Arabidopsis thaliana: one gene and its partners. The protein of the gene in region 2 interacts with the protein of the main gene of each other region in a pairwise test. Each region holds a gene or a part of one and is shown on either strand. Other genes may lie near its edges.

Evidence for each region.
Region 1: the proteins of AT3G15800 (region 2) and PRA1.C interact in a protein complementation assay, tested with the Arabidopsis thaliana proteins (one large-scale study listed by BioGRID).
Region 3: the proteins of AT3G15800 (region 2) and CESA1 interact in a protein complementation assay, tested with the Arabidopsis thaliana proteins (one large-scale study listed by BioGRID).

Annotation. Positions count from the first base shown.
Region 1 is NC_003075.7:14,529,395-14,538,425, forward strand, and holds PRA1.C (prenylated RAB acceptor 1.C), read right to left. Parts: upstream 4,680-9,031; 5' UTR 4,626-4,679; coding exon 4,053-4,625; 3' UTR 3,543-4,052; downstream 1-3,542. Other genes in the region: AT4G29654 (Protein kinase superfamily protein), read right to left, coding at 2,207-2,442, 2,518-2,657, 2,749-2,820, 3,032-3,060; EMB2752 (embryo defective 2752), read right to left, coding at 5,101-5,220, 5,586-5,777; ACHT2 (atypical CYS HIS rich thioredoxin 2), read right to left, coding at 6,589-6,867, 6,982-7,161, 7,463-7,714; AT4G29680 (Alkaline-phosphatase-like family protein), read right to left, coding at 8,673-9,031.
Region 2 is NC_003074.8:5,339,551-5,349,782, forward strand, and holds AT3G15800 (Glycosyl hydrolase superfamily protein), read left to right. Parts: upstream 1-5,438; 5' UTR 5,439-5,500; coding exon 5,501-6,013; intron 6,014-6,437; coding exon 6,438-6,755; intron 6,756-7,069; coding exon 7,070-7,438; 3' UTR 7,439-7,597; downstream 7,598-10,232. Other genes in the region: AT3G15770 (uncharacterized protein), read left to right, coding at 693-697, 933-1,204, 1,293-1,383, 1,462-1,528, 1,613-1,666; AT3G15780 (uncharacterized protein), read left to right, coding at 1,884-2,094, 2,659-2,801; MBD11 (methyl-CPG-binding domain 11), read left to right, coding at 3,659-3,721, 4,135-4,836; AT3G15810 (LURP-one-like protein (DUF567)), read right to left, coding at 8,504-8,899, 9,362-9,628.
Region 3 is NC_003075.7:15,637,291-15,650,890, reverse strand, and holds CESA1 (cellulose synthase 1), read left to right. Parts: upstream 1-4,046; 5' UTR 4,047-4,502; coding exon 4,503-4,583; intron 4,584-5,110; coding exon 5,111-5,306; intron 5,307-5,404; coding exon 5,405-5,577; intron 5,578-5,800; coding exon 5,801-5,915; intron 5,916-6,030; coding exon 6,031-6,220; intron 6,221-6,387; coding exon 6,388-6,654; intron 6,655-6,989; coding exon 6,990-7,335; intron 7,336-7,413; coding exon 7,414-7,551; intron 7,552-7,632; coding exon 7,633-7,758; intron 7,759-7,909; coding exon 7,910-8,122; intron 8,123-8,228; coding exon 8,229-8,493; intron 8,494-8,580; coding exon 8,581-8,777; intron 8,778-8,861; coding exon 8,862-9,212; intron 9,213-9,294; coding exon 9,295-9,882; 3' UTR 9,883-10,401; downstream 10,402-13,600. Other genes in the region: AT4G32420 (Cyclophilin-like peptidyl-prolyl cis-trans isomerase family protein), read left to right, coding at 169-286, 377-504, 574-889, 1,092-1,201, 1,485-1,659, 1,750-2,757, 2,844-2,912, 3,038-3,341; SHS1 (Mitochondrial substrate carrier family protein), read right to left, coding at 10,653-11,126, 11,312-11,473, 11,663-12,205; AT4G32390 (Nucleotide-sugar transporter family protein), read right to left, coding at 13,289-13,600. UniProt on the Arabidopsis thaliana protein: Catalytic subunit of cellulose synthase terminal complexes ('rosettes'), required for beta-1,4-glucan microfibril crystallization, a major mechanism of the cell wall formation. Involved in the primary cell wall formation.

The DNA of each region.
Region 1 (9,031 bases), on a different chromosome or scaffold from region 2:
ATAGATAAAAAATGCTAATATAAAGGAAACTAACCCAGTGGGGGAATTACACATGCATATTCTGGTGATTAAAACTTATGATGATAAAATAGTATTAATCATAATTATGTTATGTTTTGGGCTTCTTCTTTGGTTTTATGTATTGTTACCTTAATTACCTTTTAAATAATGTCAATGCATAATCTTTCACGATGTCAATTCACTTTGCACTTAGAAATGTCACTGTTTTTGTTTGTCACAATACTTGGCTCCAAACGAATAATATTCTGAATTGCTTTTGTCATTACGAATAACATATTGTTCTATAAACCTACGATTATCCGATTTTTTTCCTACATTAGATACGGACCTTATTAAATCATATATTATTGTGTCTTCTGTTTATGATAAAATTAAAATAAGAATCTGACGTAATAAAGTTATCGAACCTTTTTTGGTTTTGCAGAAGCAAAAAAAAGTAGTAAAATAGATATCTTTGCATGAATCTCCATTAGTTGGTAAAATAAAAGTCTCACTTCCAAACGTATCGAAGTAGAGAATAATGTGGTCCACTGACCAATGGCAAAACTCCTACTAAGTGCGCAATTGGATAATAAGAATTTAGAAGGGTTGAATTTAAGGATTATATATTTGTTTTTCACAGAAGATGGTAACAGCTTCCATGAACTCCTAAAAGTCTTATTACAAAAGTATAAAGATTTATTTAATTTCCACATTTTTGTTTTTACTATATTCAATACCATGAAAATGTGACGAACTACAACTATTGAATTATTATTTAATTACTACTCTTTAGCACATTCCTTTCTAGTTTCTACTAAGCTACTAAAGTAATCCTAACTACTATGAAACAAATTTTCTTTGGAAAAAAGGTCACGAGTCATTATGCATCTTGAATAATTTTCTTATTTTATATATTTACTATTCATACCATGAAAATGTATTAAAGTAAAATTATTTCATTGATTTTGACCACTCTAATTTCTACTAAACTACCAACGTAATCCTAACTACTTTTTGTTTGCTTTGAAAACTGGTTCATGAGTTAATTTCAACAAGAAAAAAAGAAAAATGGTTCCTGAATCACACATGAATCTTATAATGTAATCACTCAATCTAGTTTGTATGTTGTAATCTTACATACGAGGTAAAGACATCGAAGTAGAGAATAACGTGGTCCATTGAGCAAACTCCTGCTAAGTGTTAGGGCCGGCTCAACACTATCAAAGGCCCTAGGGCAAAATAACATTTTGGGCCCATAAAACCTTTTTTGGGTCTTTTAGTATATAAAAAAAAAGGGGAGATTTTTATAAATGTACCAAATTTTATTAAAATCTTGAACAATATACCCAATATATGGATATTTGAAAACTACAGATTTTTTATTGAAGTTTTACCATAATTAAATATAATGGATAAAATTAATTGACATTTTCTAAAATAGTTTGAATATCTAATTTCTTAAATATAAACAGTTTAGTTTAAAAATAAAATTTGTTATAACTAATTAATCAATTTATTTAGTGTCTTATTTCTAATGGTTTCTATTTATTAAGGACAAACATGTCATTTTAAAACCAATATAAAATATATTTCAAATAGTGTAATATTATAGTGTAGATTTCAAATTAATACTAAAATATAAGGTATACAATCAAATTAATCCTAAAGTAAAACACTTCTGCAAAATTTATATAACTAGTTGTTTATAATCATATGCCAATAATCACAATACAATAACTTCTTAAAAGCAAATCTAAATGTAATGTCAGAACAATATAAATCTAGGAATTTCCAATGTTACATGAAACAGAGAAGATTTTTTACATATTGGTACATCAAGCTCTACATTCAAGATATCTTTCGAATAATGTATATATTAGCTTAACTTGCGAGAGGGTAAAACCCCAAAGATTCAATAAAGAAACCCTAAATTGAAGCCCAAGAAATTCAATAACGATACCCTAAATTGAGACACGAAAACCTTGAATAAAGCGAAATCAAAATAAAAATTGAGGCATAACAAAGCTATATATACTAGTGAATAAAGAATCCCTGCTTCACATTGACCAAGAAACCACAAATTTGAAACAAAAATCATGACGAAGAGGTTAGACTTTGAACTTAATCATATTCAAAACTTACACTTCTACTATACAAATGAACCATAAACTCTACATCACACTACATATCTATAGAAGTTCCATCAAACCACAATGATACCGCTGCTGCTTCCCTCCATCTCTTGCTCCTTCCATCTCTTTACAAGTTCTAATACACTTGTGTCCTCCCTGTCGTTGTCTACGATTTCACTAGGCTTCCAAGTGTCACAGAGTGAGGTAAGTGTAGAGACAACATACTTCATCTCTGGTCTCTGAGTGAGCTCCTTGGCGCAGCAGTGAATTGCTAGTCTCGCTACGTCGTCAATGATGTTGCGGTTCTCTTCATTCACTTAAATTGTTTCGTCAATGGCTTCTCTAAAAGAGTTTTTGTCGATGCAGACTCTCCTGAACCAACTGAGAATGTGATGTTCAGCATCTGATCGCTTCTTGTCTAAAGCTTCCTTGCTTGTGACTAACTCCATGAGAATAACTCCAAAACTGTAGACATCAGCTTTTGTAGTTACCCTTCCAATCAATGCACTTACAAAGTTTAAGCTGTTAGATAACAATAACATTGGTGATCCGATGTAATAAACATTAACAGATTAGAGAAGAAGCATACATGCGTATTCAGGTGCCATGTAACCATATGTGCCGAGGATAGACTTTGTCATGATTGATTCGTTGCCCTCTGCTGTAGATCGGGTCAAACCAAAATCTGAAACCCTACAAAAAAACAAAAACTTTTAAGAGAAAAATAACGGTAATATCGATTGGACTACTTTTTTCGATCAGCTTTTTTGTAAAATTTGAGGATATTAAATGATCGTATTTAAAATTATTGTCAAAATACTTAGATTTGTTATTTTTGATCCAAAAAGTTCAAAAATATATATAAAGCATGATAATAACGAAATAATAAACAATACATCCTCAAACCAACTATTTTAAAATGCATAGAGTTTGGAGGAATAAGGAGAAATCTTGAAAATTTATATATATTTTGCTTGTAGTTTGCTTTTGTTTTTCTTATGTTTTATCTTCTTTTTTTGCTTTAAATTAAACATGATTAACAAACTTTATATTTTGGTAATTCTAGAACACTATAACATATTAAAAAAATTATAAACAAAATAATTCTTCATAGACAATATAAACCTATGTAATTATCTCTTTGAAATAAATAAATTAAATATGTTTATTAGGAATAAGTCTTAGTTGGTTTTGCTTAACATTTACCAAATGTAAAAATATTGTATTCACTCTGGGACTAGGCCGGTTGATATTAGCGAGACGTCTAAACCACCTCAGATATTTTAGAGAGTTCCTTTTAAACACTTATCTCTTTTACAATTATCTAATTTTTTTACTAAAATAAAAATTTAATTGTATAATCAAATTATAGTAAAATATTAATATTTTTTTTATTTGAGAATTTTTTGGGGTTCTCTTTGTTGGAGATGGTCTAACTACTTCTTCATGTCGTGTCTAAAAAGTAAAATGGTATATATAGCCAAATCCCTATTGCATTTGAACTTGATAATTGTTGTGATAAAATTAAAAACTAGATCATTGTTCATATAAAGTTACAACCTTTCAATTCGTAATTGTTGAAAATGAGAGAATCGATTGGATAATTTGTAATAAGTGATAACTGAGAAGAGGATCACACTTGTCTTCGTTATTGTATTGGCTTGTTGGAGATAATTAGATAGGAATTCTATCATAGGATAATGTTTTTAATCAGCACGCAAAATTGCCTTTTATTTGTCACCAAGGTCTCTGACATGCATCAGTACATCAATATCCACATCCTGAATTTTGATCGCAAAAGAGCTCAAGTTCTTTTTGCAGCATGTTAACGTTCCTTCACTGGATATGCGTTGTTTTGAACTATGTAGACAAATTCAGGAAAGAAAAACTGAAAATCTTGTGCTCAATTGTGAAGACTTAAGAGGAAGAAGAAAGTGACGAAGATGATGTGTTCATTGCCACTTTCTCTTCATCATCTTCCAAGACGAACAACATCTCTGTATTCCTCCTACACATGCCATGAACCAGAACAACGGGCAAACCAGCCAAAACCCCGATCACAATACCGCGGGATACATCTGTTAGTAGAAATATACCGATCGTGAGGACCAACAAAACCAGCACCAAAGTAGAATCATCGATCACACTGCCAAATATCACCCATGGTTCATTATCACGGGAGTAGACATATAGCCATGCTACTATCAAGATAACAAAGACGGAAAGGTGGACGGGTTGCCAAAGCATGCTGATGAAGATACTAACAATGAAGATAACAATGTAGTTGGTTCGAAAGATCATGATGTTGGATTTGATTCGTTCAGTGGCAACGCTAAAGGAGATAGGAAGGCTAAAGGCACTACATTGGACAAGTTCAAGCCATGGCCTTTGAGAGCTAAGACCTAACGAGATCAATTCTTTGGCTCGTCCTAATAAGCTCAGGCTCGACGAAGCATTTTCTTGGGATGGTATAGTGCCATAGGTTGTCATATTCTTTCACAAGCAACAAACAAAAAAAAAAAGGAAGGAAAGAAACAGAGTACGTCCCCAGAGGAATCTATATGGACTAAAGAATGTGAAGCAACCTAATTTGAAGAGAAAAATCTGTGTTGGCTCAATGTTTCTGAGGTAGTTAGATCATCTATCTTATTTGGGAATGTTTTATTTCAGGACACCAGAAGAGAGGCAGATACAAGCAGAGATATTCAAAGGAATGAATGGATACCCTTAAACTTCTCAAATCAAATCCTTATACTATAACGAGACTGTCATTACATGTAATTTCTAGAAAATAGATTCTTAAGAGAGTCATTAGACTCGAAATACAGACACAAACATTCTACTGAACCAAAAGAAGTTTTTTGATATACATATACTAGTGAACCAGTATAAATCCATTTATATCTGCGTATCAAAGTCGGAGATACATCCTTCACCATAGTCTCTGATAGCCTAATCGTTAGCTTCACTGGCTGCTAGCATCTGAAGCAATAGCCTCACCACGATAAACTCTCCATGGTCCTCGATAGAATACTGGCTTCATCAGAGGCACTGTTTTCCCTGGGTGCTCTTCCCAAAACTTCTCCTGTTTACAGAGAGTGGAGTAACATAAAGTTCACACTCAAACAAGAAACATAACTGATACTAACACAAAACAGTGTAAGAAACACATTGACAAAGAATACAATATACTACAGAACAATGAATTAGATTAGATACTAATCAAGACGTAAAAGCTTCATTGAAAGACCTAATGAACCATTCCCATGAAAAGCAATTCAAGTATAGTTCTTTTCATGATCACACAATCCTTTATTAGTAATCAACAATGAATCATTTCCAATTTTATCACATTTCGAACCCTAACATTTACCAATCACGAGAATCAAATTAGAACCCACAAATCTAATAGCAATTCCGGGCCTGAATCGATAACAATACGAAGCTGACCTTGTAGAGCTGCTCTGTAACTGCAGCGCCGATGACGCCGGTGTAAAAGGCGGCGACATAGATAGTAATCAAAGTTGTGAAGGTTTTTGGTCGACGGTAAGGTTCGATCATTTCCCAAACAGCAAATCTCTCGAACTTATTGTACTTATAATCAGCATATTTCCTCCATAGTTGGCTCCACACTCCTTGCATCTCTCAGATTTCTCTCTTCTCAAACCTTCGCCGAATTTTGGATTTCTCCGTCTAGCTGTTTCGCGGCGGCGCGTGGGAACCTGAGAAAAATCTGATATCAAAAGGCAAGACTTTAAACGTTAAAACGTTTACCAAACAGTCCTCTTATTCCTACATGTTTTAGTTTTCAGCCCTTAACTTATCTTTAACACTTAAAAGTCTTGAGCTCACATTTGTAAATTTTTAAAAAATCTTATTTGATATGATTCTTGTAAATTTGTAAATTGTAATCACAACACATGATTATTGTAACCATTGTGCTATGTATTTGTTTTTCACTATCGTTCGGTAAGTTGAGAAAGTTATAAATTTACCCCAAAACTATGGAAATGAGACTTATGCAACCTCACATGACTTCATCAATAAGCTTGCTTTAAAGCAATAAAGAACAGCAGTAGTGAAAATACATTTGCAATTGACTATTAGCAGAAGAATCGTAACTGGCTTTAGGAAGTATTCTTTTACACCCAAAAATATGACGATATACAGAATTTTAAGCTGAGTATTTGCTTGAGCAACCAAAGATTGTTGCCTTAGTAATATATCTAAAAATCTGGCACTTCAACTTGATGCAGCTGGTTTGGCTAATGTTAAGCCTTCAGGTACCTTGGCTGGACCGAGGCTGCAACGATCGGTATTGTGCAGTTGGATTGCATCTTTTATCTTCTGAAACTGAATACACACAAATATTCAAAAGAAGAGGATGTCAAATAGTAATCAGAGACAGACCAAATGCATTCAACCGGTTTTGGTATCAATATCAGCAAAGGGTCTATAATATTTGATAGATCCTATCGAAAAAGAACAACGAAGTAGTTCTCTTTGTTTGAAGCGTTATGCCAAGCTCTAGTTGCGGAAAAGGTGAAACCGAAATAGCCTTCTTTACCTTAGCAAGAGAACATGAGAATGACTCAAGCTGACCATCAGCTCCACGGTAAAAGTGGAAAAAAGGAAGCACTCTCACGTTCAAACTCTTGCACATCGGTTTATTCTCATCAAAGTTTACTTTAAGGAACACTATATCGGGATGTTCCACCGCTGTCTTGCAAAGCTGAAAACATTTTCAAAACAGACACAAAAAAAACATCTAAATTTCTCACAGAATCACGAAAGAGAAATGAAACTCTTATAGTTTCATGGAATAGATACGTCACATGACACTAACCTTTGGGAACAATGCTCTGCAAGAAGCACACCAAGTTCCATAAAACTCTACAATAACTAATCTTTCACCCGCACCGCTTAAAGCGCTCAAGAACTCTTCAGTAGAATGAATATCGACCATGTTTGGAGCATTCCTCTCCCACCATTTCGGTGGCTCTGTCTCGGCTACATTTTCATCTACCTACACCACAAACCCACATCAGAAACATAAAACTATGGCCGAAAGCATCACCATCTAATCAAAGCAATCAATAGCATCACCGTCTCTAACAAAAAAACTGAAACTTTAGACTAAATTCTAAACATCTGAAGTGGAATGAGAACATAACAGTGAGCTAAGGTCACAATTCACGTTTAGGCTCTAGCTAGAGGCGAAAGACCAAATCGAATAACAAGAGATCAGAAATGGGCTCAAGAGTCTCAATTTCCAAAAGGGTATACGATTTACGGACAGAATCAGCTAAAAGGCAAGACATTTGTACCTTGACACGAACCACTTGGCTCTTGGGTCGTCTAAGGGGGAGATGGCTTCCGAGACCAGAAGATGGGTGGTAATGAGAAGACGAGCAGGAAGGAGAAGATGAGAGAAGACGCAATCTCTTGTCGGAATTCAGATTCGAGTTTGGAGGTAAGCAAGGTTGCAGAGGATTAAGAGCGGTGGCAAAGGAGCTGAAGGACGAGGAGACACGAATGGCTTGAACCGACGTCGTCGTTAATCGCACAACTCCAGCCATCTAAATGCACCCAGAGAGAGAGATAGAGACTGAGATTGTTCTTGGTTTTGAATCTTCTCCGAGAGATCCTCTAAGGAGAAGAAGATCAGAAACTGTCTGGTTCAGATTCCAGTGATATTTCTCTCATCATGTCTCTCCAATTATACATAGACGCGATTTTTCAACATTAAATAGCGTTTAAACCGCCATCATCCACTTGGCGTTTTGTCGATATGATAGTTGAAAAAGCGTAAACGCGTTTTTGTTTCTCCGTTAGAATCGTGTTTTAACACGGAACGCAGATAAGTAATGCTTTTTTCTTTACACACATAACAAACTTATTTACTTAAATGCCATCTATGTTTATTTGTTATTTGGATCCCAACTTTAATTGATGTACAAACACAGAAAAATCTAAAGAAAAATATCAAATTTGAAGGCGATTTGGGTTTAATTAGATTCGTATTTTTGATCAATCAAGTCTAGCATATACTTAGGTTTGATAAGTTTTCTACTTTCGATCACGATTTTAAAAGAGGAAGGTTCTTGTTATAAGGATTTAAGTGAATCTGTTCTGTTCCAATAAACTAAGCAAGTAATGAAAGAAAAAACATAACATGTGATGCAACAAAATCATTGCAAGAAAATAGGACACATCGGTGATAAGTGTTGATAATTCCAACATACACTAAATTGTTTCCAATTATTGGCAAAGAATCGAGTATCCAATTCAAAGCATTGTTTCTTTGAAGGAAAGTACAAAGCTTCCAATCTTGGCATCAAATGTCAAGACAAGTTTCATACTCCGAAATACTACAATACGTTTTAGTGCAACTTCGTGATGAAATCATACAAAAACAGCAATCAGATCAAAACGCATAAAACGTCTAAGAGGTCAAACGCGTTTATGTTTTGACAACAAAGTCTCAAGAGTCTAGACTGCCTTTTATTGACAGAAGAATAAACTTACCCTACTCTTCTACACGCGTGGCAAGAGAATGCTTGAAGAAAACTCATCAGATCCATTGTTTGGTGCTGCCTTAAGTCCTAGAATCGAACTGATCACATTGTATATCTGAACATTCTCAAAAGAAGGCACTTTCCTTCCTTTTGAGAACATAGGACCATGCCCGATGAATATAGTTCTCATCGAAAAGAAGGCATTGTCATACCCGTGAGCTCCACCGCATTCCTTGGCTTTACTTTTCTTCTGCTCCACCTTGAAGCCCTCATCGACTAGTCCTATAATAGGCGGGATGCGGTCACTGTCTACATAATGCAGCCTGCTAGGTAAATCCTCTTTGAGATAAACCTTCAAGTACTTCCCATTCTCTACTT
Region 2 (10,232 bases):
ACCACCTAACTTTTATCACCATACCGCTTTGAATTTTCAAACTTTATTGTGATTTTATTTACAAGAAACGAATTTAGAATTTTAGTGGATATGTTTGTTTCAATGCCAATGGATATCGCCATATTGGTATAAGATTCTCCATTACAAAAAAAAAAATACACTAGTATAATAGCATGTAACATTTATACAACATAACAAAGTAGAATCTACAAGATCAACATAATTTTTATCACCCTTGGGTTTAACCTCCGATTAGTTTTTTCTTTATAAGAAACAAATTAACCTATAAGAACGAATATACATTATTGTCTTCAATTATGGCAAAACGAGGAAGGATCTAAAAAACCGAACACAGTCGAAAGGAGCCAAAGCAGTCAAAAGTGGATAAGGTAAGTGTAGGGTCCAAAGCCTTATAACTCCACACGACCACTACACTCTCTACACATGGCTCGTCGTCGTTTTGGGGCTATACGTGGGGTCGGGCACTTCTTCTTTCAAGTTTCTTCGAAATGAAGTATCCGAAACTTCCAGATACACGCAAAACCCAGAAAAGAGAAAAAAGAAATCGTCTTTCCTTTTACTTCTCTTCTTCCGATTGGGTCTTTGATCATTTCCCCAATCGATTGATAAGTTTTGTTGGGTTGCTTTCGATTCTTCGTTTGATGATCTAAGAAAGTCTCTGTCTTTCCACGATGGGGTAAGTCAGTTAACTCGTTTTAAGGTTGTATAAGGTTTTTGATTCTGTGGCGAAAAATGTTATCTTTTTAATCTGGGCCATTGGAATTCGAAAGTTTTTAGCTTTGGGTATTCATAAAGATTTGAGCTTTGAAGGAATAAGCTTTTGGATATAAGGATGATGTTTTTGTTTGGATGATGATTTGGTTTAGCTATTACACAAAATGAATGATATGTTTAATGATTTTGTAACACAGCAGTAGTTGTTTGGCTTGTTTTGATAAGTCGAAAGCAAAAACAAGTGTAGATGTGCCTTTGAATGGCACAAAAGATGTGTTAGTAGAAGAAGATTGGAGTGAATTGAGGAAGCCTAGTGTAGTAGCTTCTGAAGATTTCTGGACTAATACCACTTTAGATATGGAAAGCAATGCTCACGGAAGTGTTTCTTCAATCAGTACAACCAATCTGACTATTGATTCTCAAGGATGTGGTTCCAGCTCTAATGAACCTGCTGAATTTGTTAACCATGGTGAGTCAGTGAGTGAGAAGAGTATGATTGGTGATTGGTCTTATTGAGCATTTGAAAAATAATTGGAGAATTTTTTGGGGTGTTACAGGTCTTGTGCTATGGAATCAAACTCGGCAGCAATGGGTGGGAGATAAAAGATCCGAGAGCCGTAAAAGCGTTGGTCGAGAACCGATTCTAAAGTGAGGATTATATAAGACCTAATGGTTCGAAGAGTCCAACTGTTGTGTGGAATATAAACAGTTTGATTGTTTTTGCAGTGAGAATGTGACTTATGAGAGTCTACTTGGGAGCAACAAGCGATTTCCGAGGCCTATACCTCTTGATGTAAGTTCAACTCCATGAACTGGAGGAAGTAACTATCCATTCTCATCCAAATTTTGTTTGTTATTGAAAGTTTTATCATTGCAGGAAATGGTGCAGTTTCTTGTTGAAGTTTGGGAAGAAGAAGGTCTATACGGCTAAAAGATTCTTTTTTACACATTTACAATTGTAAAGAGAGCTGAGAAAAATATATACACCCAACAAAAAATATTTGTTGATGGATCAAATTTTATAAAATTCTCTTGATTTGGAGTAATTTCCACAAAAATGTTTTTTTTTTAAATTGTCGTACACGTGTATGTCTGAATCAGAAACCCCTTAAATAAAAATGAGTTCTTAATTTTATCGTCGAGGAAAAATGGCGATGGCTTTGTCCAACCCGACCACAAGCACTAACCTCTACCACTACTCAATTCTCTCGCCGTTCTCACCGCCGTATCACCTTCACCGTCGAAACACCGTCCTACTAGCGAGTCCCCGCCGTTTACGCCGCCTCGCCGTCGCTGGTGGTCCTCCTTCTCCTCCAGGCCCTGATCCGCCTCCGCCTGAGGACACCACTCAGCTAGAAGGTTCGATTCTTCTTGCCCAGATTGATATTTTGGTCCTTTGAATCCTACTTTGTTTGGTTGGTCTTTGTTGTACTTGCTTTTCAGTTTTCACTTTAACTGTTGTGTTTTGGGTCGAAAGTTTCAATTTTTATCCGATAGTTTGATATAAGTATGGAGTCTTTTAGGTTAGTACTTGGTATTGAATCGTGCTGAGATTGTTATTGTATCATGAAACTTCCAAAACATGAGGATGATTTCATCCAATTAGTTGTTGTGTCCATGGAACCAAAGTTCAAATCTTGTGACATGATTTTGGCTTAGGCAATTAGGATTGTGGAATTTACTCCTTATGATTCAAAATGGCTACCATTTTATGTGGGGATTTTCTAAATTTTCTCTTAAGATGTAAAATTGTGCAGTAGTTGTATGTTCATTGGTTCTGCAATTAGTCCATATGTTATGTTGAATAGCTTGGGTGATGATTCCTTTATAACATAGAAGGATAGGCTGGAAATAGAAAAAACTGCACTCATGACTGATACTAAGTGAAATGAATACTCTTGTTTTCTTTTTCTCTTTGTAAAGGTCTTGTGGGAGCTGTGACAAGGGTTCAAGACCGCGTAAAGATTTTCCTCGCAGTGTTCTTTTGGATGTTTCTCTTCTTCTGGGTTACAGTCACAGATGGGACGGGTAAAGGCAAAGGCAAGAAGGGTTCACGTTTCAAGTAGTTTCCATATATGAAGAGGCTTTGGTGATTATCTACTACTCTATACTGTATATATATCAAGACTTCAAAGAGATCAAATTACCTGTATAAACTTCACCAAGTAAGCATCTTCCTTGTACATCACTTATTCAGATGATAATAGGAAACAATAAGATCGTGTTATCTTCTTGGTTAATGCTAGTGATATATAGTACTCAATTCCTGATTCTTTCCCAGTCTCCATCTGATCATGCTTAAAAAACGGCGTCGTTGAGCAATAGGACTCAAGACATGAATGGGCCTAATTTATGGGCTTTAAAGAGTTTAAACCACAGTAACGTTCTGTTTTACCGGACTCCAAAGCAATACTCCATTAGAGTTTTTTTCCCCCAAAATGGAGAAAAGTCGTTAACTATTTGGCACGTGTATTGCATGAGCACCAAGTAAGTCTAAATCTGCATTAAATGCGAACATCCGAGTCGACTTAACACCTTTTGATCAAGGCTTTAACGTGTCGTTGTTACCATAGAATATAGATGATAGAGCGCATTTTATATCACTGGATATAGACACGTGGTTAAACTTAATTGGGTTGTTAGTTAAGTTGTTGTGCTACCTCCAAGTGACTTTATCATATACTCTGTGTGTTTCTGGTAGTAAAAAAAGGTCTAAAACCATAGTGTTAAGCAAAAGAGAAAAAGAAGAGCAGAGCAAAATCCCTAAAATTTTAAACTCTGTTTTGCTTTCCGACAATCAAACCCTAGGTTGTCTGTTGCTTCATTCGTGTAAATTGTTAAATTTTTTGTTTTTGTTTTCTTGGCATTTTGTGGTTGATCTTTCTAATTTGTTTTCAGGGGTTGCTAAAGGGAAAGGAGAGAGATGGGTGGTGAAGAGGAAGTTGTTTCTGTTGAGCTACCAGCACCTTCTTCATGGAAGAAATTGGTTTGTTTTCTTTGTTTCATACAAAGACTTAGAATTTGTTGTATATGTGTAGTGCTGCAATTACCAAATCTTTTTCTTTGAAGACTCTGAATATGGTAGCTTTTGGTGGCGAAATGTTAGTATAAGTGTAAATAACTTTATGTTGATTAGGTGATTCAAAGGTTATAGACTTAGAAAAAGCCACATTTGATTGTGTTTGATCTACTATTTCTACTTCTTTGTTCTTGACTTAATGCCTCATTTTGACTATGTTTGATTTACTTCTTACTTTTCCCGATTCTTATGGATTTTAAGCCACTTGTAAACATTGTTTAAGCTACATTAAGGTCTTCTTTAGAATTTAATCTTTCAGCGTTTTGAACCTCAAATTTTCATATTTTCAGAGGTTTACATTAACTGACTTGTTTTTGCAGTTTTACCCCAACAAAGTGGGTTCAGTGAAGAAAACAGAGGTTGTGTTTGTGGCTCCAACGGGTGAGGAGATTAGTAACAGAAAGCAGCTGGAGCAGTATCTCAAATCGCACCCTGGAAACCCCGCGATCGCAGAGTTTGATTGGACGACTAGTGGGACACCTAGGAGATCTGCAAGAATCAGTGAGAAGACTAAGGCTACGCCGTCACCAGATAAAGAGCCACCCAAGAAGCGAGGTAGAACCAAATCTCCAGTGTCAAAGAAAGATGCAGAAGGTGAGAAATCAGAGGGAGGAGGAGAGGAAAACTCTCATGTGAAAGATACTGAAATGAATCCTCCAGAGGGAATCGCCGAGAATGAAAATGTGACCGATAAGAATGGCTCCGGTGAAACTGAGAGGGTGAATGATGCAAAAGAAAACATTGTTGCTGAGGAAACTCCAAATGCGGCTCCAGTTCAAGAAGAGGGTGAGTCGATGAAGGAGAAAGCTCTGGATTCTGTTGATGATAAGAGTAAGGAGACTGACAAAGAAAAAGATACTGGCTCAATCGAAAAGAACTCGGTAGATGTAGAGAAGAAGACCGTTGAAGCTAGTGATGAGAAGAAGAATTCTGAAGCTGAGACCAGAAACCATGAAGAAAATGGTCTGACCACAGAAGCTGAGGGGAAAGAGAAAACAGCAGAAGGAGAAGCTACCGGATAGCCCTGTTCTGCTCTGCTTCTGTTAGCTCATGAAACTGTAAGTCAGTTGTTTCTATCAATCTATTGAAGTATATGGTTTCCTTTTTGCTTCCTACTCGGAGCATTATCGCGGTGAAAGGTGTTGTTAGGCTGAGATATGTATTATGAGATATGTGCAAGTTCTGTTTGGTTGTAAGGTTATGTAGAGGATATATTATTGACTCTTCTCTAAAACCATTGCAATCACTAGGTTTGATGTTTTATCTTTCTGCTACAATCTTTAGTCATTTTCGTATGGATGGACAATCAAGTTATGAACAAGTCAGATTAAAGATCCACACATAGATTAATCTTCTAGATTTCTTTTTATCATTGGTTCAATCTTCATTTGAACGCCATAAAATGGGAAACCCAAATAAAAAAATGGAAGAAAGCAGAAGAAGACAAGAGGAAAAAGGTAAAAGTTTTGCTTTGAGAGTAAAGTAAGAATCTAATGCAAAGAAAGACTTACAATGTTAGTTTTCTTATTTCCTTGATTCCATCCTTTTGCATGGTCCCAGGGACGAGGGTTTAGAATCTTTCTATTAAGGAACAACTTCATAGTATAAACTCTTATTGTTCCCATTTTAGGATTAAAAAAAAAACTTGCTCTGTTTTCAAAAACATCATTCGAGACAGTATCTCAAATGGGTTATTGTGTTCCTCTTCGAAAGTCTCCAACTTCACATATGGTTTTCTCTTCTTTCTTCCTTTCGTTTCTCTTAGTCTTCTCTATACTCTCTTCACAAACGGCCGTAGCATTCATCGGAACATATGGTGTAAACTACGGTCGCATAGCGGATAATCTTCCGTCTCCTGACGCGGTAGCAACTCTCCTTAAATCAGCAAAGATTAGAAACACCCGTATCTACGATGCTGACCACTCTGTACTCACGGCGTTCCGCGGGACCGGGATTGAAATCATCGTTGGCTTAGGCAACGAGTTTCTCAAAGACATTAGTGTAGGAGAAGACCGAGCCATGAACTGGATTAAAGAAAACGTCGAGCCTTTCATACGAGGCGGTACTAAAATTAGCGGTATCGCGGTGGGTAACGAGATTTTAGGTGGCACCGATATCGGGCTTTGGGAAGCTCTCTTACCCGCAGCCAAGAACGTTTACTCCGCTCTTCGCCGTCTCGGTCTTCACAATGTCGTCGAGGTACATTACCTTAATCTTGCATACCAAACATGTCGCTAAAACCATGACATCTCGAATTTGCTTATTTTGTTTGGAAAAAGTTTTTTTAAAAGATTGCACGTTTAACCAACGTTAAATCTCATAAATACATTATTTTTTTCCGAGTAAAGTTGAGAATTTTCTTACAGACAAAATGATCAATCATTTTTTTGTAACCCAAAATGATTCAGTTTAAATATATAAATCTATTAACCTAGTAACAGAAGTTTGTATTAATGATATGACCATGTCGATCATAATCCAGCTAAGATACGTTAGTAGGCATGCATCAATTTGGATTTCTCTTTGAATTTTTTTCTTTTTAAATCATCTCTAATATTTTTAGGACATCAAACTTAGAACTTAAATGATGATTTAGCCTAAAACATTCAATATTTGTTTATAGGTGTCGAGTCCACATTCAGAGGCAGTGTTTGCGAACTCGTATCCACCGTCTTCGTGTACGTTCAGGGACGATGTGGCGCCGTTTATGAAGCCGTTGTTAGCGTTTTTTTGGCAAATTCAGTCGCCGTTCTACATTAACGCCTACCCTTTTCTTGCATATAAATCCGACCCGATTACAATTGACATCAATTACGCCCTTTTCGAGCACAACAAAGGCATCTTGGACCCTAAAACCAAGCTTCATTACGATAACATGTTCGACGCCATGGTCGATGCTTCTTATGCTGCTCTCGAAAAAGCTGGCTACACAAAAGTCCCGGTACGTCCGATCCTTATTACTATCAACCCTTTTTTTGTTTGGTTTCCATTAACATTTTCCCTTTGTTACAAGCTTTGCAAAGTACAAACGTAAATGTCAAACTAGACTAAAGACATTTTTTTGGGGTCAAAAACATGCATTATATGAGTTTCAACTGAATAATTTGACTCGTTATATGCATTTTTATTTTTCTATCAGTAACATGCATTTTTTATCTTTTGCTATCAGTACTACATGCACTAAGCTACATGTCTTGTCGTACGCGGATTTAAAAGCGTCATGCGAACCTGATTTAATCATTTAATTGTACCTAGGTGATTGTTTCGGAGACGGGATGGGCATCAAAAGGCGATGCAGACGAGCCTGGAGCGTCGGTAAAGAACGCGAGAACATATAATCGGAATCTTAGGAAGCGGCTGCAGAAGAGGAAAGGAACACCGTACAGACCAGACATGGTGGTGAGAGCTTACGTGTTTGCTCTTTTCAACGAGAACTCGAAACCAGGTCCCACTTCCGAGAGAAACTTTGGCCTTTTTAAACCCGATGGTACTATTGCCTACGATATTGGCTTAACCGGACTCAAGTCCTCTTCTGCCACACGGTATCGTTTTAAGTCGTCTCTTGTTTCCGCTTCTGCTTTCACGTGTCTTCTTCTTCTTTTTCACCGGTTGTTCCACTTGTGAGATTTGTGATTTTTTTAATTGGTCCTTTGATTATCAAGTTAACCCGTAATTCTTGATTTGCTTGTGATTAGTCACTTTTAACTTTAAAATGTTAATATACGAGCTCCTAATTACTTTGTGTAATGTCTTCTTGAAATGATATTGTTTAGTGAGGGTAAATGTTGGATTTTTCTACATTATTCTCTAAATATTTCATCCCAAGTCAAAAACAGTTAAAGAAAAAGTTTATTACATAAGCTGCATATGTGAGTTTTTGATGGGACTCAATCACATGAAAACATCACTAGCTACATAACTATTTAAATGTTGTGTACTCACATAAATTTTGATCAAGTATTTGTTCTAACTATAAAATTATTTTATTTGTTTTGTCCATTGTCTACTTGGTATATATAGCTATCAACCATGTATTTACGTGAGCATGAAAATTTTGATTACGTTAACGAATCAAATCTAGAGAGTGCATTAGTCAAGATATATCTTCTCTCTTTATTAGATGCCTATATAGTTTTCTTATAAATCTTATTCGACCACCTTCTATTTATGTATTAATATTCCTACGCACTCTCTGATCTTGTGTCAACTAACACTAATAAAATTATTCATGAGATTCAATTTCCACTTGGCAGTAAACATGTGTACGATACACGTTACATCTCTCCTATATATTAAAAAAGTTAGTACTTCGATAGAAACATTTTGCAACTAACACAATAAATAAAAATTTATCAATCGAACTTATAATTAATTAAATCTTTAACACATCTAATCTGGTCAACTGATAGATTTTGGATCGTCATAATTTTAAAAAATTTCTAACATGTATCGATAAATTTAGAACGCACAAATAATTTTGTAACATCAAACGTATAGTCAACGAATTTCCCGAGACAGACTATAGTCTATAAATATTATGTAACGTAGCAACTTAAATGACTTAACACAGAATGATACAAACAGATCTCCATAATCCCATATGGTCCAAATCCAAAGATTGAAAAACTAAAGATTAGATTCGATATGTTAACGTGAAGACCGCTGAGAGAGGTGAGAGAGAGACCGACACTAATCCTCTACAAAAGGGTGTACCTGTTCATCACCAATCTCAACTGGATCATCACCGTTGATCTGGTCAAGCACAACGACCAAACCCATCGCGAAAGCGCCATCAAAACCCGGTTTAATCTCTAGAGTGAACACATCTCGACCAAGCATCACGTTCGTTGACGCGTCTACTTTGCGTTTGATCTCAGCCACAGTACATTTCTTCGTGTCGTATATGAGACAGCTTCGTTGCGAGAAGTCTCCATCGATAATGTACTCTTCTCCTGTTCCGTCGTAAACTTCTACTTCCATCGTACACCGTCCGATTATCGACGATCTACGGACGCTGAATATCGGTTTCTGACCTTCCGATCTCTCGCCGAGAAAACCTTCCCATCTTTGGTGTAGAGTTGGTCTCTGTTCATCAGAAAAATAAACAACGAGTTGACTCAGTATCATCTTTAGAACTACTATATAACAAATAAAGGACACTATAAATTGTGTTAGCAACTGAGTCGATGACTCGGAATTAGGCTTATACAAAAAGTTGATTAAAATTTTCAGCTCAAAACAATTTCTTCAGATCTCGTTTCTAACAATGATTTTTATCGATTCTAGCCAAGTCATTATTTGTTTACCAATACAAAAAACTTATCAAGATTTTCTTGACAAAAAAAAGAGGTTAGCAAAAGATTCTTGAATTCTGATGGATGCTCACCAATGAAATTCATTTTTTAAACCAAACCCATCTAATCAAATTCAGCACAAGAAGTTGAGCATCAAAATTTATTATAATCACCTAGCTAGTCACCCTCACGACTAGACTCTTACTCATCCCAACATAATTTTAAGAAGAAAAAAAGGATGAATTAAGTTTACCTTTCGTTTAACGGTAAGGAGACACTTCCCGGTCGCGTCCATGAGGACAATCTCATCGTTATCTCTTGTGTCAGGTCCATAAGAATCAACCCTGAAGATGATATCACCACGGCAGTCATAGGCGGCGAAGCCATCGCCGGTGTAGAAGAGAGAAGTCTTGCAGACGGTGAGTGGTTTGTCTTCTTGGTAAAGATAAGCTTTGTCGACCACAATTCTTTCTCCCATCTTTTTCCCTTCTTTTGGAATGGTCTCTTCAACTAATTCCATTTTTATTTTTATTTTCTTGTGTATGTGTGTTTTGTGTGTGGAAGTTAGATTTTGTGGTTTGATTAACGAATGATTTTTAATCTATGATATGGACACTCTTCTCTTCCTTCCTTTGTCTCTCTATTTATATGTGGTTGATATATACGTACACACGCTTGACGCGTATGTAATGAATTAATATCTTTAAGTCTGCTTCAAAAAAGTCGTAACATATATTATTGTTATTTCCTATTGGCTAATAATACCAAAGTCACATGCATAAATAATTAAATAACATGCTATAACTTAAAAATGTTAGTTTAATCTGTTTTATTAGGCTTTATTCTAAACTATTTTTAGACTGTTTACACGCCGCTTTTATATCCAAGTTGCAAAAGAAGAAACAGGTAGGAAGATTGTTTGAAGTTTTTATGGTATTTTAACATTTTAGGTGGTATTATTAGTTTGGGATTTAAATAAAGTTTTAATGACTTAAAATATTATTGAGAATATATTGTTATTTAATCAAATTTTTTAAAAAGTTTGGTATTATTAATTTAAATTTTTTATAAATTTAGAATTATTGAATTCATACTTTTATAAAGTCATTCAAAGTTTTGTGTTA
Region 3 (13,600 bases), on a different chromosome or scaffold from region 2:
ATTTCTGCATTGTTCATTGCTTAAATAAAGATTGTATTAACAAATAATCTTTCATTTTGGACGCATTGCTTTATTGTAAAGTACTGGTCTTCTTGTGAATATCACATCTTTTGCTTGTTCCCTTTAAATATGTTACTAAGTAGCAAAATCAATTTCTGATGTTACCAGATGAGTCACCGAAACTAAGACATGAGGAGACTGGTCTTTTATCTATGTCGATTGCAGACCGTGACAAGTTCGGATCACACTTTCATATTACCTTCAGGCCAAATCAGCAGCTTGATAGGTTTCCTCTCAATATTACTTTGTTTATTTCAGGAATGTGGATTTTCCTTTGGGCATTGTGTTATTTCTGACTGGTTTATATTTTCATCAGAAATAATGTTGTTTTCGGAAAGCTAATTCAAGGGAAAGAGATATTGAAAAAAATTGAACGTGTGGGTGATGAGGAAGGTAAACCTACTGTCAGCGTGAAGATAATCCGTTGTGGAGAATATTCTGGAGGTACGAATCTGCTCCTATTGGTTTCTACTACATAAGTCATGATTTCACAATTATAACCAATCCATGCAGATAAGAAGAAAAGTGACGGTAAAAAAAATGGAAAGCACAAGAAGTCTTTAAGAGTGAGAAGAAAAAAGAGGCGAAGACACTCTTCATCTGAGTCTGAGAGCTCTTCAGATTCTGAGACAGATTCCTCAGAATCTGATAGTGAGTCAGATTCAGACTTGTCTTCACCTTCCTTCCTTAGTTCCTCGAGCCATGAAAGGCAGAAGAAGAGAAAAAGAAGTTCAAAGAAAGACAAGCACAGGCGGTCTAAACAGAGAGATAAGCGCCATGAGAAAAAGCGGAGTATGCGTGATAAGAGACCGAAACGCAAATCAAGAAGGTTGCAAGTCTTGTACACTTCACTTGTTATAGCCATAGTTTCCGTGTCAATGCTGGTTACTTTCTGAAATTTATTATTTTCTATGGATCTAAGCTAGATTAATTTTGTTCCTCTAGGATGTAATAATTTGATAGATATCCTAACAATTTTACTTACCTGTATCTGCTCCAGAGTTATTCACTTGTGTTCTGCAACTTTTCAGGTCCCCTGACAGTCTTGAAGACAGTAATAGTGGAAGTGAAGCAAGTCTTAGTGATGTCAATGTTGAAATTGGAGCAAAAAAGAGGAAACACAGAGTCTCTCGTAGAACAGGTAGTCTCTAAAACTCAAGACTTTTGGCTTCTGTTTCAGCTATTTTTTTTTGTTCTTTTTCTATTGGTCTGTCCGAAATTAAGGATGTTGGGATGGGACAAAATACTTTGCGTGCTATTTGATCATAACATATTTTAGTGTCAATTTGCCTTTTGTTGAAGCATTGTGTTGATCATGCGTCTTCATATTGCCGACATGTTTTTTTTTTTTGCTAATTTCTGTAGGCAGTTTAATAATGAGACTGTACACTCTTAACATTCTGTTTTTGACAATATTCAATCAGGTAATTCTGCACCAGCGGTGGAAAAAGAAGCTGAATCACTTCACCAGGGCAAAAGGAAAGGACCAGATTTGCTTGAAAACAGAGGGCTGAGAAGTAATGGAATTTCAGATGCTGCATCAGAACAGATTTCTGATAGGCAACCTGATATTGTCGATGATCATCCTAGTAAATCTAGGTCTAGTTTCTTTTCTCTCTACGCCTCATTTATTGGTTATTTCTCTCTTATTCAATATGAAGTCAGTCTTATTTTAAAGTTAATGTGCAGGAGCCGGAGCTTGAGTCCTAAGAGGACAGTGAGTAAGAGCACGAGTGTTAGTCCTCGGAGGAGTCAGAGTAAGAGCCCGAGTTCAAGTCCTAGATGGAATGGGGGCAGAAGTCCTGCTAAAGGTAGCCGCCAAGTGAAGAACTTGACAAACAGTAGAAGAGAAAGCCCAGGGAGTGAGGAAAAGGGCAGGCATGTCAGAAGGAGCCCTACCAAAAGTGTTAGTAGAAGTCCGGTGCGGGTGAAAAAGGAAAGAGATATTAGTAGAAGTCCTTCAAAGAGTTTAAGCAGAAGTCCACTGAGGAGCCCCAAAAGGGTCATCAGCAGAAGTCCAGTGAGAGGTAGGATTGCCAGAAGCCCTAGCCGGAGTCCTGTAAGATCTGCATCTCGTGGAAGCCTTGGGAGGGGCCCACTAAGAAGATCGTCAAGAAGATCACCTAGCAGAAGTCCAGTTCGATCTTCTAGAAGAAGCCTGAGCCGGAGTCCTATTCAATTATCTAGAAGAAGTCTGAGCCGGAGTCCCACTCGATTGTCTAGGAGAAGCCTAAGCCGGAGTCCCATTCGATCACCTAGGAAGAGTGTGAGCAGGAGTCCAGTCCGATCATCTAGGAAGAGTGTGAGCAGAAGTCCGGTTCGTTCATCCAGGAGACGTATCAGCAGGAGTCCAGTCCGATCATCTAGGAAGAGTGTGAGCAGGAGTCCTATTCGATTGTCCAGAAGAAGTATCAGCAGGAGTCCTATTCGATTGTCCAGGAGAAGTATCAGCAGGAGTCCTGTTAGAGGAAGAAGAAGAATTAGCAGAAGTCCAGTTCCGGCAAGGAGAAGGAGTGTGCGGCCTAGATCTCCTCCTCCTGACCGCAGAAGAAGTTTGTCAAGAAGTGCTTCTCCTAATGGGCGCATAAGGAGAGGGAGAGGATTTAGCCAAAGATTCTCATACGCCCGTCGATACAGAACTAGTCCATCTCCTGATCGATCTCCTTATCGCTTTAGTGATAGGAGTGACCGTGACAGGTGAATAGCCCACACATAATATAACTCCCCCTTTCTGTTACACACTCTCGTACTGAACCGTCTTTTTTATAACGTCTTCTCTGTAGATTTAGAAGTCGCAGAAGGTTCTCGCCAAGTCGGTTCAGAAGCCCACTAAGAGGAAGAACACCTCCAAGGTACTTATCCTCTTTAGTACATTGTTTCAGCTGATTCTTTACATCTAAAAGTTTCATGAATATGGAACTAAAATTGGTGATCCAAAAGAATTATTCTTGATTTCACAACTCGAAAGTATGCTCAGGTATAGAAGAAGAAGCCGCTCAGTATCGCCTGGTCTCTGTTATCGCAACCGGCGGTACAGCCGCAGCCCTATCCGTAGCCGATCTCCACCTTACAGAAAGAGAAGGTCACCATCCGCTAGCCACAGCCTGAGTCCATCGAGGTCAAGATCAAGATCAAAGTCATATTCAAAATCTCCCATTGGGACGGGGAAAGCAAGATCAGTGTCAAGATCACCATCCAAGGCAAGGTCTCCATCGAAGTCGGATTCGACATCCTCGGATAATAGCCCAGGTGGGAAAAAGGGATTAGTAGCCTATGATTAATGAATAATGATTACCCTTAAGTTAAGTGTTTGTTCTTTTTACTGAGAAGAGATGGTAAAGAGAGTAAGTAGTTTACTTCTGTAAAACATAAGCATTGTCTTTTGCGTATGTTTGTTTGATTATGCTCCAAGATTGTTAAAAATTTCTGTTGATGTTTGCCGACATTTTTTCTTTGTTGCCATTTGCCGACAAATGTTAACTTCCATTATTCGTTGCGGAGTTGGTTTTGGTCCAATAATTAAACTTTCATAAAATTAAGCATAACTAAATGTGACGTTTGTCACCAAACTTTAGAACAACGACATCGTAATTTATTTATTTGGATAATCAATATAATTTACGATTTCTTCCTACATATATATCATATCACTATACCACCGTCATTATCACTATCACTAAATATAAAAATGTTAAAATGATTTCTTAATGGAATTTTTTTTGTTAAAAGTTTATTGACACAAAAAATGAATTAAAACTCAGAAATCTGTATACTGAATTAAAACTTGTAAATATAACAACAAAATGGGATTAAAAAAAGAAGTGGCATCCATTTAAAAATTATTTGCGAATTCGCCCGTAACTTCTTAAGCTAACAATTAGAACCTAATCAACACTAGTTATTTTGAGTCCACCGACAGGTGATAGCAAATAAAAAAGAACAGGCTGGTACCAGAGCCAACAACAACGTGGCTTCTTCTTTTTTTTTTTTAATATAATCAAACAATCATACTTTGTCCTATCTCTTTCTTGCAATAAGATTTTGCCACGTCACATACTAAGAAGCTGGCGCGTCTAGTGGGGAAGCCAGAACGGCTCACTTTAAAAAGTAGAGAGATGATAACTTGAGCCGAATAGAGCCGAGCTGAGCTAAAACGGTGGGAGAGGAAGAGGCTACTACTACCGTCACCATCTCCGGTAAAATAATGTACTTGTCATTTAAAAATTAAGAAAAAACACATCACTCTGCGATAAAATAGGCAAAAGCAGATTTGAAGAAGAAGCAGCTTGAGATATCAAATAGAGAGAGAGAGTGACAGAGGAGTGTGTGAACATCCTTTTTTAGTAGATTTGGGTTTTCGAGATGCCGTATTGAATCGGCTACGAATTTCCCAATTTTGAATTTTGTGAATCTCTCTCTTTCTCTGTGTGTCGGTGGCTGCGATGGAGGCCAGTGCCGGCTTGGTTGCTGGATCCTACCGGAGAAACGAGCTCGTTCGGATCCGACATGAATCTGATGGCGGGGTCTGTTCATCTTCCCTTTTTCCCATTTTTTTGTTATTGTTTTTCGTTCTTACAATTTTTGATGTGTAGATCTCATCTAGATTTCTCTGTTTCTAAATCTCGTCTCTTTTGGATCCATAATTGGATCATTGAAACTCAGATTTCGCTTCCTTTGACTGTGTAGTTAGTTAGTGTCAGTTGATCAAGTAAGTGTCTGAAAATGGAAACTTTTCTGCTCCAATTCTTCAAATTGTTGTGATCTATATCAATTAATGCCGCATCTGTTTTCTTAAAATCTCTTATGGAAAGTGTCGGTGGATTTCAGTTCGTTAACTTTTTTAAGCTAAAATCTTTGACTCTTAAAGTTTAGCTTTACTTATTGAGATTTAGCTCAACTAGATCTCGTTAGTTCCCGCCATGGGATACAGACTGTGACTCGCCTTAATTCAGATCTGCATTGATTGTTTTGATTTAGATCCTTGCTCATCTCTTTCTGTAGTTTCTAATACTCAATGACTAACAATGATGCAATGTTGGTCAAAGTGCAGACCAAACCTTTGAAGAATATGAATGGCCAGATATGTCAGATCTGTGGTGATGATGTTGGACTCGCTGAAACTGGAGATGTCTTTGTCGCGTGTAATGAATGTGCCTTCCCTGTGTGTCGGCCTTGCTATGAGTACGAGAGGAAAGATGGAACTCAGTGTTGCCCTCAATGCAAGACTAGATTCAGACGACACAGGGGTCAGTTGTCTTTTTCTTTTTGTTGGCAATTGCTATATATGGATTTTCTCTTTTTGTTTCTTTGCTGTTGTGTTGAACAATTTTTTGGAATTTTCCAGGGAGTCCTCGTGTTGAAGGAGATGAAGATGAGGATGATGTTGATGATATCGAGAATGAGTTCAATTACGCCCAGGGAGCTAACAAGGCGAGACACCAACGCCATGGCGAAGAGTTTTCTTCTTCCTCTAGACATGAATCTCAACCAATTCCTCTTCTCACCCATGGCCATACGGTAGGGACCTACATTTTCCCTTTAGACTCTAGAGTGATTTGTATTACTCAATAAATCCCTAGAGTGGTCATTTATTACTTACTATTCACGTTAATGTTATATGTGAACAAATCTTAACAGAATTTTTTTCTGATAGTACATGGTCATCCAAATTAAGAAATAATAATAGATGTTGTTAGTTGTGTCTGTTTTCAATAGATTCATGACCTTTTTCTATACACAGGTTTCTGGAGAGATTCGCACGCCTGATACACAATCTGTGCGAACTACATCAGGTCCTTTGGGTCCTTCTGACAGGAATGCTATTTCATCTCCATATATTGATCCACGGCAACCTGGTATTCATATGTTTTTCCCTTGTGCACGTGGTCTTTGTTAAATGTGATTCCTATTCATTTTTACAACATATATATTTTGTGTACCGTAACTGATAGCTCCCGCTAAAAATTGCAGTCCCTGTAAGAATCGTGGACCCGTCAAAAGACTTGAACTCTTATGGGCTTGGTAATGTTGACTGGAAAGAAAGAGTTGAAGGCTGGAAGCTGAAGCAGGAGAAAAATATGTTACAGATGACTGGTAAATACCATGAAGGGAAAGGAGGAGAAATTGAAGGGACTGGTTCCAATGGCGAAGAACTCCAAATGTAAGTGGAAATACTAGACCAATATCTTTATTGTCCAACTCAAACAGCTCTTGGCCGTGATGCTAATAACCACTCTTGGTTTCTTATTATGTATTGATAGACATAATTAAGTATCTGCTTTGTTACATTTGTTTCCTTCCACTCAATTATGGTTCTCGTACTTACAGGGCTGATGATACACGTCTTCCTATGAGTCGTGTGGTGCCTATCCCATCTTCTCGCCTAACCCCTTATCGGGTTGTGATTATTCTCCGGCTTATCATCTTGTGTTTCTTCTTGCAATATCGTACAACTCACCCTGTGAAAAATGCATATCCTTTGTGGTTGACCTCGGTTATCTGTGAGATCTGGTTTGCATTTTCTTGGCTTCTTGATCAGTTTCCCAAATGGTACCCCATTAACAGGGAGACTTATCTTGACCGTCTCGCTATAAGGTTGGTCTTTAAGTTTATACATCCCCTACTCTCATCTCTCTTTTATGTATTAACTTGATATCTTCTATCACAGTTTTCGATAGTTGACTTTTTCCCCCTGTAAATTTAATTTAAATTTAGACAATGGTGCATCTGAATTTTGATTATGATATATCTTAAGAAGATTATGATTGTAAATCTTGAAATTTAGTAGAAAACCATCTGCAATCTACTGACCATGTGAAGTTTCCGACTAGACTATGATAGAAGCATGCCAAGTGGAGTGTTTATTAAGATAGAGCTTAGCTATTATACTGATTTTATATGTGTTTTGATTTTTTGGTTTCTTATTGTAGATATGATCGAGACGGTGAACCATCACAGCTCGTTCCTGTTGATGTGTTTGTTAGTACAGTGGACCCATTGAAAGAGCCTCCCCTTGTTACAGCAAACACAGTTCTCTCGATTCTTTCTGTGGACTACCCGGTAGATAAAGTAGCCTGTTATGTTTCAGATGATGGTTCAGCTATGCTTACCTTTGAATCCCTTTCTGAAACCGCTGAGTTTGCAAAGAAATGGGTACCATTTTGCAAGAAATTCAACATTGAACCTAGGGCCCCTGAATTCTATTTTGCCCAGAAGATAGATTACTTGAAGGACAAGATCCAACCGTCTTTTGTTAAAGAGCGACGAGCTATGAAGGTCATTTGAAAAGTCCACCTGCTTCTCATCCATACGGCAAAGAGATTGACTGACTTTTTCTTTGGTTTGTATTGACAGAGAGAGTATGAAGAGTTTAAAGTGAGGATAAATGCTCTTGTTGCCAAAGCACAGAAAATCCCTGAAGAAGGCTGGACAATGCAGGATGGTACTCCCTGGCCTGGTAACAACACTAGAGATCATCCTGGAATGATACAGGTACAGTGTGGCAATCCCTTGATTGTGACAGAGAGGATAACGTAAAGGAAACATGTTTACATCGTTTTGTTTCAATTTCAGGTGTTCTTAGGCCATAGTGGGGGTCTGGATACCGATGGAAATGAGCTGCCTAGACTCATCTATGTTTCTCGTGAAAAGCGGCCTGGATTTCAACACCACAAAAAGGCTGGAGCTATGAATGCATTGGTTTGTTAACTTTCAGAATCCTATTGTGTCCTCTATTTTATTCTCTTGTTCACTGCCTAAGAAACGTTCTTCTTGTGTAGCCGTTGCTTCACATTCTTTTTTTTCTAGGCTATGTGTTCTCTCCTAATTTAGTATCTCTTTACTTTGACAGATCCGTGTATCTGCTGTTCTTACCAATGGAGCATATCTTTTGAACGTGGATTGTGATCATTACTTTAATAACAGTAAGGCTATTAAAGAAGCTATGTGTTTCATGATGGACCCGGCTATTGGAAAGAAGTGCTGCTATGTCCAGTTCCCTCAACGTTTTGACGGTATTGATTTGCACGATCGATATGCCAACAGGAATATAGTCTTTTTCGATGTGAGTATCACTTCCCCATTGTCTTTTGTTTCTCTTTTGTTCATATTTTGGTTGGATTTACTCGTTTCTGCTATGGCCTGACTTGGATATTTGTTCTCTTGGGCAGATTAACATGAAGGGGTTGGATGGTATCCAGGGTCCAGTATATGTGGGTACTGGTTGTTGTTTTAATAGGCAGGCTCTATATGGGTATGATCCTGTTTTGACGGAAGAAGATTTAGAACCAAATATTATTGTCAAGAGCTGTTGCGGGTCAAGGAAGAAAGGTAAAAGTAGCAAGAAGTATAACTACGAAAAGAGGAGAGGCATCAACAGAAGTGACTCCAATGCTCCACTTTTCAATATGGAGGACATCGATGAGGGTTTTGAAGGTTTGATTGAGCTGATTGTGTAATAACATCACTTCTTTATGTAATGATTTATGTGATGGTGAAATCTTACAATCCTTGTTTATGCAGGTTATGATGATGAGAGGTCTATTCTAATGTCCCAGAGGAGTGTAGAGAAGCGTTTTGGTCAGTCGCCGGTATTTATTGCGGCAACCTTCATGGAACAAGGCGGCATTCCACCAACAACCAATCCCGCTACTCTTCTGAAGGAGGCTATTCATGTTATAAGCTGTGGTTACGAAGACAAGACTGAATGGGGCAAAGAGGTCAGTTTTCAAATGCAGCTACAGAATCTTCTTATGTTCTCTTTCTTACCTGTTTGATGACATCTTATTTGGCACTTTTGTTAGATTGGTTGGATCTATGGTTCCGTGACGGAAGATATTCTTACTGGGTTCAAGATGCATGCCCGGGGTTGGATATCGATCTACTGCAATCCTCCACGCCCTGCGTTCAAGGGATCTGCACCAATCAATCTTTCTGATCGTTTGAACCAAGTTCTTCGATGGGCTTTGGGATCTATCGAGATTCTTCTTAGCAGACATTGTCCTATCTGGTATGGTTACCATGGAAGGTTGAGACTTTTGGAGAGGATCGCTTATATCAACACCATCGTCTATCCTATTACATCCATCCCTCTTATTGCGTATTGTATTCTTCCCGCTTTTTGTCTCATCACCGACAGATTCATCATACCCGAGGTTTGTAAAACTGACCACACTGCTATTTACTATTTGAATCCCATTTTGTGAATGCATTTTTTTGTCATCATCATTGTTGCAGATAAGCAACTACGCGAGTATTTGGTTCATTCTACTCTTCATCTCAATTGCTGTGACTGGAATCCTGGAGCTGAGATGGAGCGGTGTGAGCATTGAGGATTGGTGGAGGAACGAGCAGTTCTGGGTCATTGGTGGCACATCCGCCCATCTTTTTGCTGTCTTCCAAGGTCTACTTAAGGTTCTTGCTGGTATCGACACCAACTTCACCGTTACATCTAAAGCCACAGACGAAGATGGGGATTTTGCAGAACTCTACATCTTCAAATGGACAGCTCTTCTCATTCCACCAACCACCGTCCTACTTGTGAACCTCATAGGCATTGTGGCTGGTGTCTCTTATGCTGTAAACAGTGGCTACCAGTCGTGGGGTCCGCTTTTCGGGAAGCTCTTCTTCGCCTTATGGGTTATTGCCCATCTCTACCCTTTCTTGAAAGGTCTGTTGGGAAGACAAAACCGAACACCAACCATCGTCATTGTCTGGTCTGTTCTTCTCGCCTCCATCTTCTCGTTGCTTTGGGTCAGGATCAATCCCTTTGTGGACGCCAATCCCAATGCCAACAACTTCAATGGCAAAGGAGGTGTCTTTTAGACCCTATTTATATACTTGTGTGTGCATATATCAAAAACGCGCAATGGGAATTCCAAATCATCTAAACCCATCAAACCCCAGTGAACCGGGCAGTTAAGGTGATTCCATGTCCAAGATTAGCTTTCTCCGAGTAGCCAGAGAAGGTGAAATTGTTCGTAACACTATTGTAATGATTTTCCAGTGGGGAAGAAGATGTGGACCCAAATGATACATAGTCTACAAAAAGAATTTGTTATTCTTTCTTATATTTATTTTATTTAAAGCTTGTTAGACTCACACTTATGTAATGTTGGAACTTGTTGTCCTAAAAAGGGATTGGAGTTTTCTTTTTATCTAAGAATCTGAAGTTTATATGCTAAGCTTTTCACTTTACTACAAAAAGTTTATGGATATGATGGTGTACGTCAATTGTTGGTGCAAGTGTTGATGTCTTCGGGTGAACTCGCCCTCTTGTTTTGTCTCACCCATCAGTACAAATAGAATGACATTTATTTTTTTGAACTTTTAACGAAATCTTTGTCATTATGGGACTTGATCAGTAAAGTTACATATTTGAAGAGATATTGTGTAAACTCTTATTTGAATCAGAATCAGATCAATCAAAAATTGAAAACGTAAAGTTCAAACAAAAAGGTAGAGTGAATCTTTTAATCCCCCCTCAATACTAATTTGTGAAATCTCAAGTGGTGTAAAATGAACCCAATTAGTATCCACAATGTGTTTCTCTGATCAATCCTTAAAATTTGCCACGAATCCATACAATTCCAAAATCAAGCTTCTTGGTTGTTCTCGATGAGTATCTTCTTGCAAGCTTCATAACACATGAAGGAGATTCCAGCAGCAGGAACCAACTTCAAGCAACTCGGTCCAAGCCCTTTGTACCAACCGAGAATACCTTCATGCTCAAGTATGGTCACCAGAGCGTGCAACATGTTCTTGTACACAACCCTCCCGCTAACAGCTCCCACCTGCATATGCTTCCGGGCCACTTCAAGAGGGAAAGTTGCAGTGCTCGATAGTGCACCTGCTAAAGAACCTATCAAAAGAGTCTCAATGTTTCCAATCTTCTCCTGCTTTGAAAAACTCCGGTATGCTTTTCTCAAAGAATCATATGCAAAGTAATTTGTAGCTGCGTATGGAACAACTCCAATAAGGCTAGGAGCAAGACCCCTGTAGAGTTCTGTGGGTCCTTCCTCGCGTATGATTTTGAGAAACGCATCAAAAATCCCTTTGTAAACACCTCTCTGCAATAAGTTTGGAAGACCCATTACTGAGCAAAGAACTATATAGATCCGATATTACAATGAACTATCTAACTGAATTCTTGTCAAAAACAACGTGACATGTACTAAGGCCACAAATCCTTCAGCTACAAGGGAGTGAGATCACCTAATTATTTCTAACAAAATACAATCTAAATGGATCAAACCTGAATTGTAAGGCGAGTCTTGACTAGTTCAAGAGGGTATGTCAAGAGTGTCTGGCTAACTCCAGCACAGGCACCAGCCAGTAAAGAAGCTGGAATTGGGATTTTCGATTCTTGTCCATGTGGCGGCGACAATTTCTTGTTTACGGTCTCGAATACAAAAAGCTACACATACAAGAATTGGAAAACAAAGAAAGTTGAGTACCAAAGTCTCATCAATTCAGCATAAGACACAAGACTTTTCACAGGTAAAGAGTCAACGAGATATATTAGTATAAAAGTCAGAAACTTGCTCAATCTGCATTTCAATTATAAACAATGATACATGTTTGGTTAGGATTATCATAGTGGTACCTCGACGGCTCGAGCAGGTGCAACACGAATGACATTGACCAAATTGCCCCTGAAGAGACCAGTCCAACCTTCATGCTTCATGATATCACTGAACACTTCAGTGCTGGAGTTTCCTCCACTTCCCACCATTAGATGCGTCCTGATTGTCTCCAACGGCGCAACCACCGTTCTCGACACCGCTCCAGCTACTGCTCCGCTTAATAGCCGCCGCAACGAAGGATTAGCGATCTTAATCTTCAGTGTGAGCCCACCTTTCTTCTTCCTCTTCCTCTTCTCGCCATTAACTACTTCTTCCTCCTCCTCTTTTCCCGGCATATACTTGGTGTAGAGATCATTGAGCTGGGTAGAGAAGCTGTTGTTGCCTCTGTTGGAAAGATCCGAGGACGAGAGGGATGCGAATGGATTAGTCTGATTAACGCTGGCGAATAACCCACCAATTGGGTGGTAATTAGAGCTGTTTAGGCTCGAATCGAATCCTAAATCGGAAACGGAGAAAAACCCATTCCTCGAATCGTCGAACAATTGGATTCCGGTTTTCCCCATGACCAATCGTCGAACAATTGGTCGTCCCTTTCGTTGAGATTTTAGGGTTTTACTTTTAACCAGTCTGCTAGTTTTCTTGCCCTTTTTGGGTGGGTTGGTAGGTAGGTCAGTGGGACGTCGACTGCGGCGCTTTGATTTTTTTTTATTTTCTTTGAAACTAAAATTAAAAAGAGTTTTATATTTTATTGTTAAGATATTCAATTATTTTCTAGAATTGGGAAATGCAAATCCACGAAATAATTGCCGACAAGCAAATGTAGTAGAGCCGTATAAGAAGTCTCGGTTTTTGTAGTTTTCACGTGTGACCAAACCTTTAACCGAAACTCAATCCAGCTGAATTTCAAAAAGAAGTAAGCCACATGGGAGCTTTTAAGTTTTTTTTTTTCTCGCGTTCATGGACTGGACAAACATTCTTTCAATGGGGTTGGGCTCAAGCCCACTTCAGATCTGGTTCATCACAAAACTCAAAACGATTGTTGTTGTTCGAATTATGTCGGAGGCAAGCTCAAATAGTTGTTGACACAAGCTCATATAGTGAAAACTGAACAACCTATATAGTATTGAGTTTGTCGATGTCAAGTATGAGCTCTATGATATGTTTGTAAGTTTAAACATGTTTGCTTTCCGACACAAAGGTTCAGTTTCATGCTTTTAACATCTTTATCTTGAATCTTGATAATAACTTAGAACCAAACAGGATCTCAATGGCATTATAAAAGTAAACCAAAATAGATTCATAAGAAACAAAGAAAACTCCATAGAACACAAGATCCGAGTGGTACATTGTAAATCATCACAAAGACATTAAAACTTCTAAAATCCTTGTACCATCAAATCCACTATGTAAATATAATCAGCCATAACTTAAAAGTAACATAGCAACTAAAACTCAAAACCAGAGAGATTGACAATAAGAAAGACGATCATACCTAAGCAAAGAAGTGAACCAAAGATGATGCGCAAAATCCTGTTGAAAATTTTCCTCCAAAGCTACCAAAATCATCCTAACACTTCAACTCTTATTCCTCTGAATTCCACACATTCATCAAATTCACAAACCTTTCCTTATGATCATCAACTCAATCAGTCTTCTGTTTCATTCCGTTTCGCAGCAGCTTCACTTTCCCTCTCTTCCAAAAGCTTCCCAGCTTCTTCTTCATCACCTTGCTGAACCTTCTTCTGAGCATCCTTAGCCTTCAACGCCTGTAACTTGCAGTGATTGTAATACGCAACACCCAAGAACGCAAGCCCGTAACCAAAGAGATTAAGCGGAGTCACCGTATCTTTAATCACAGACCAAGAGAAGGCAATCAATAGCCAATCCTTAACCACACCAGCAACATTCATTGTTAAAGCCGAGGTCTTTCCAACGAGGAGGAACACAGCAAGGTTCAA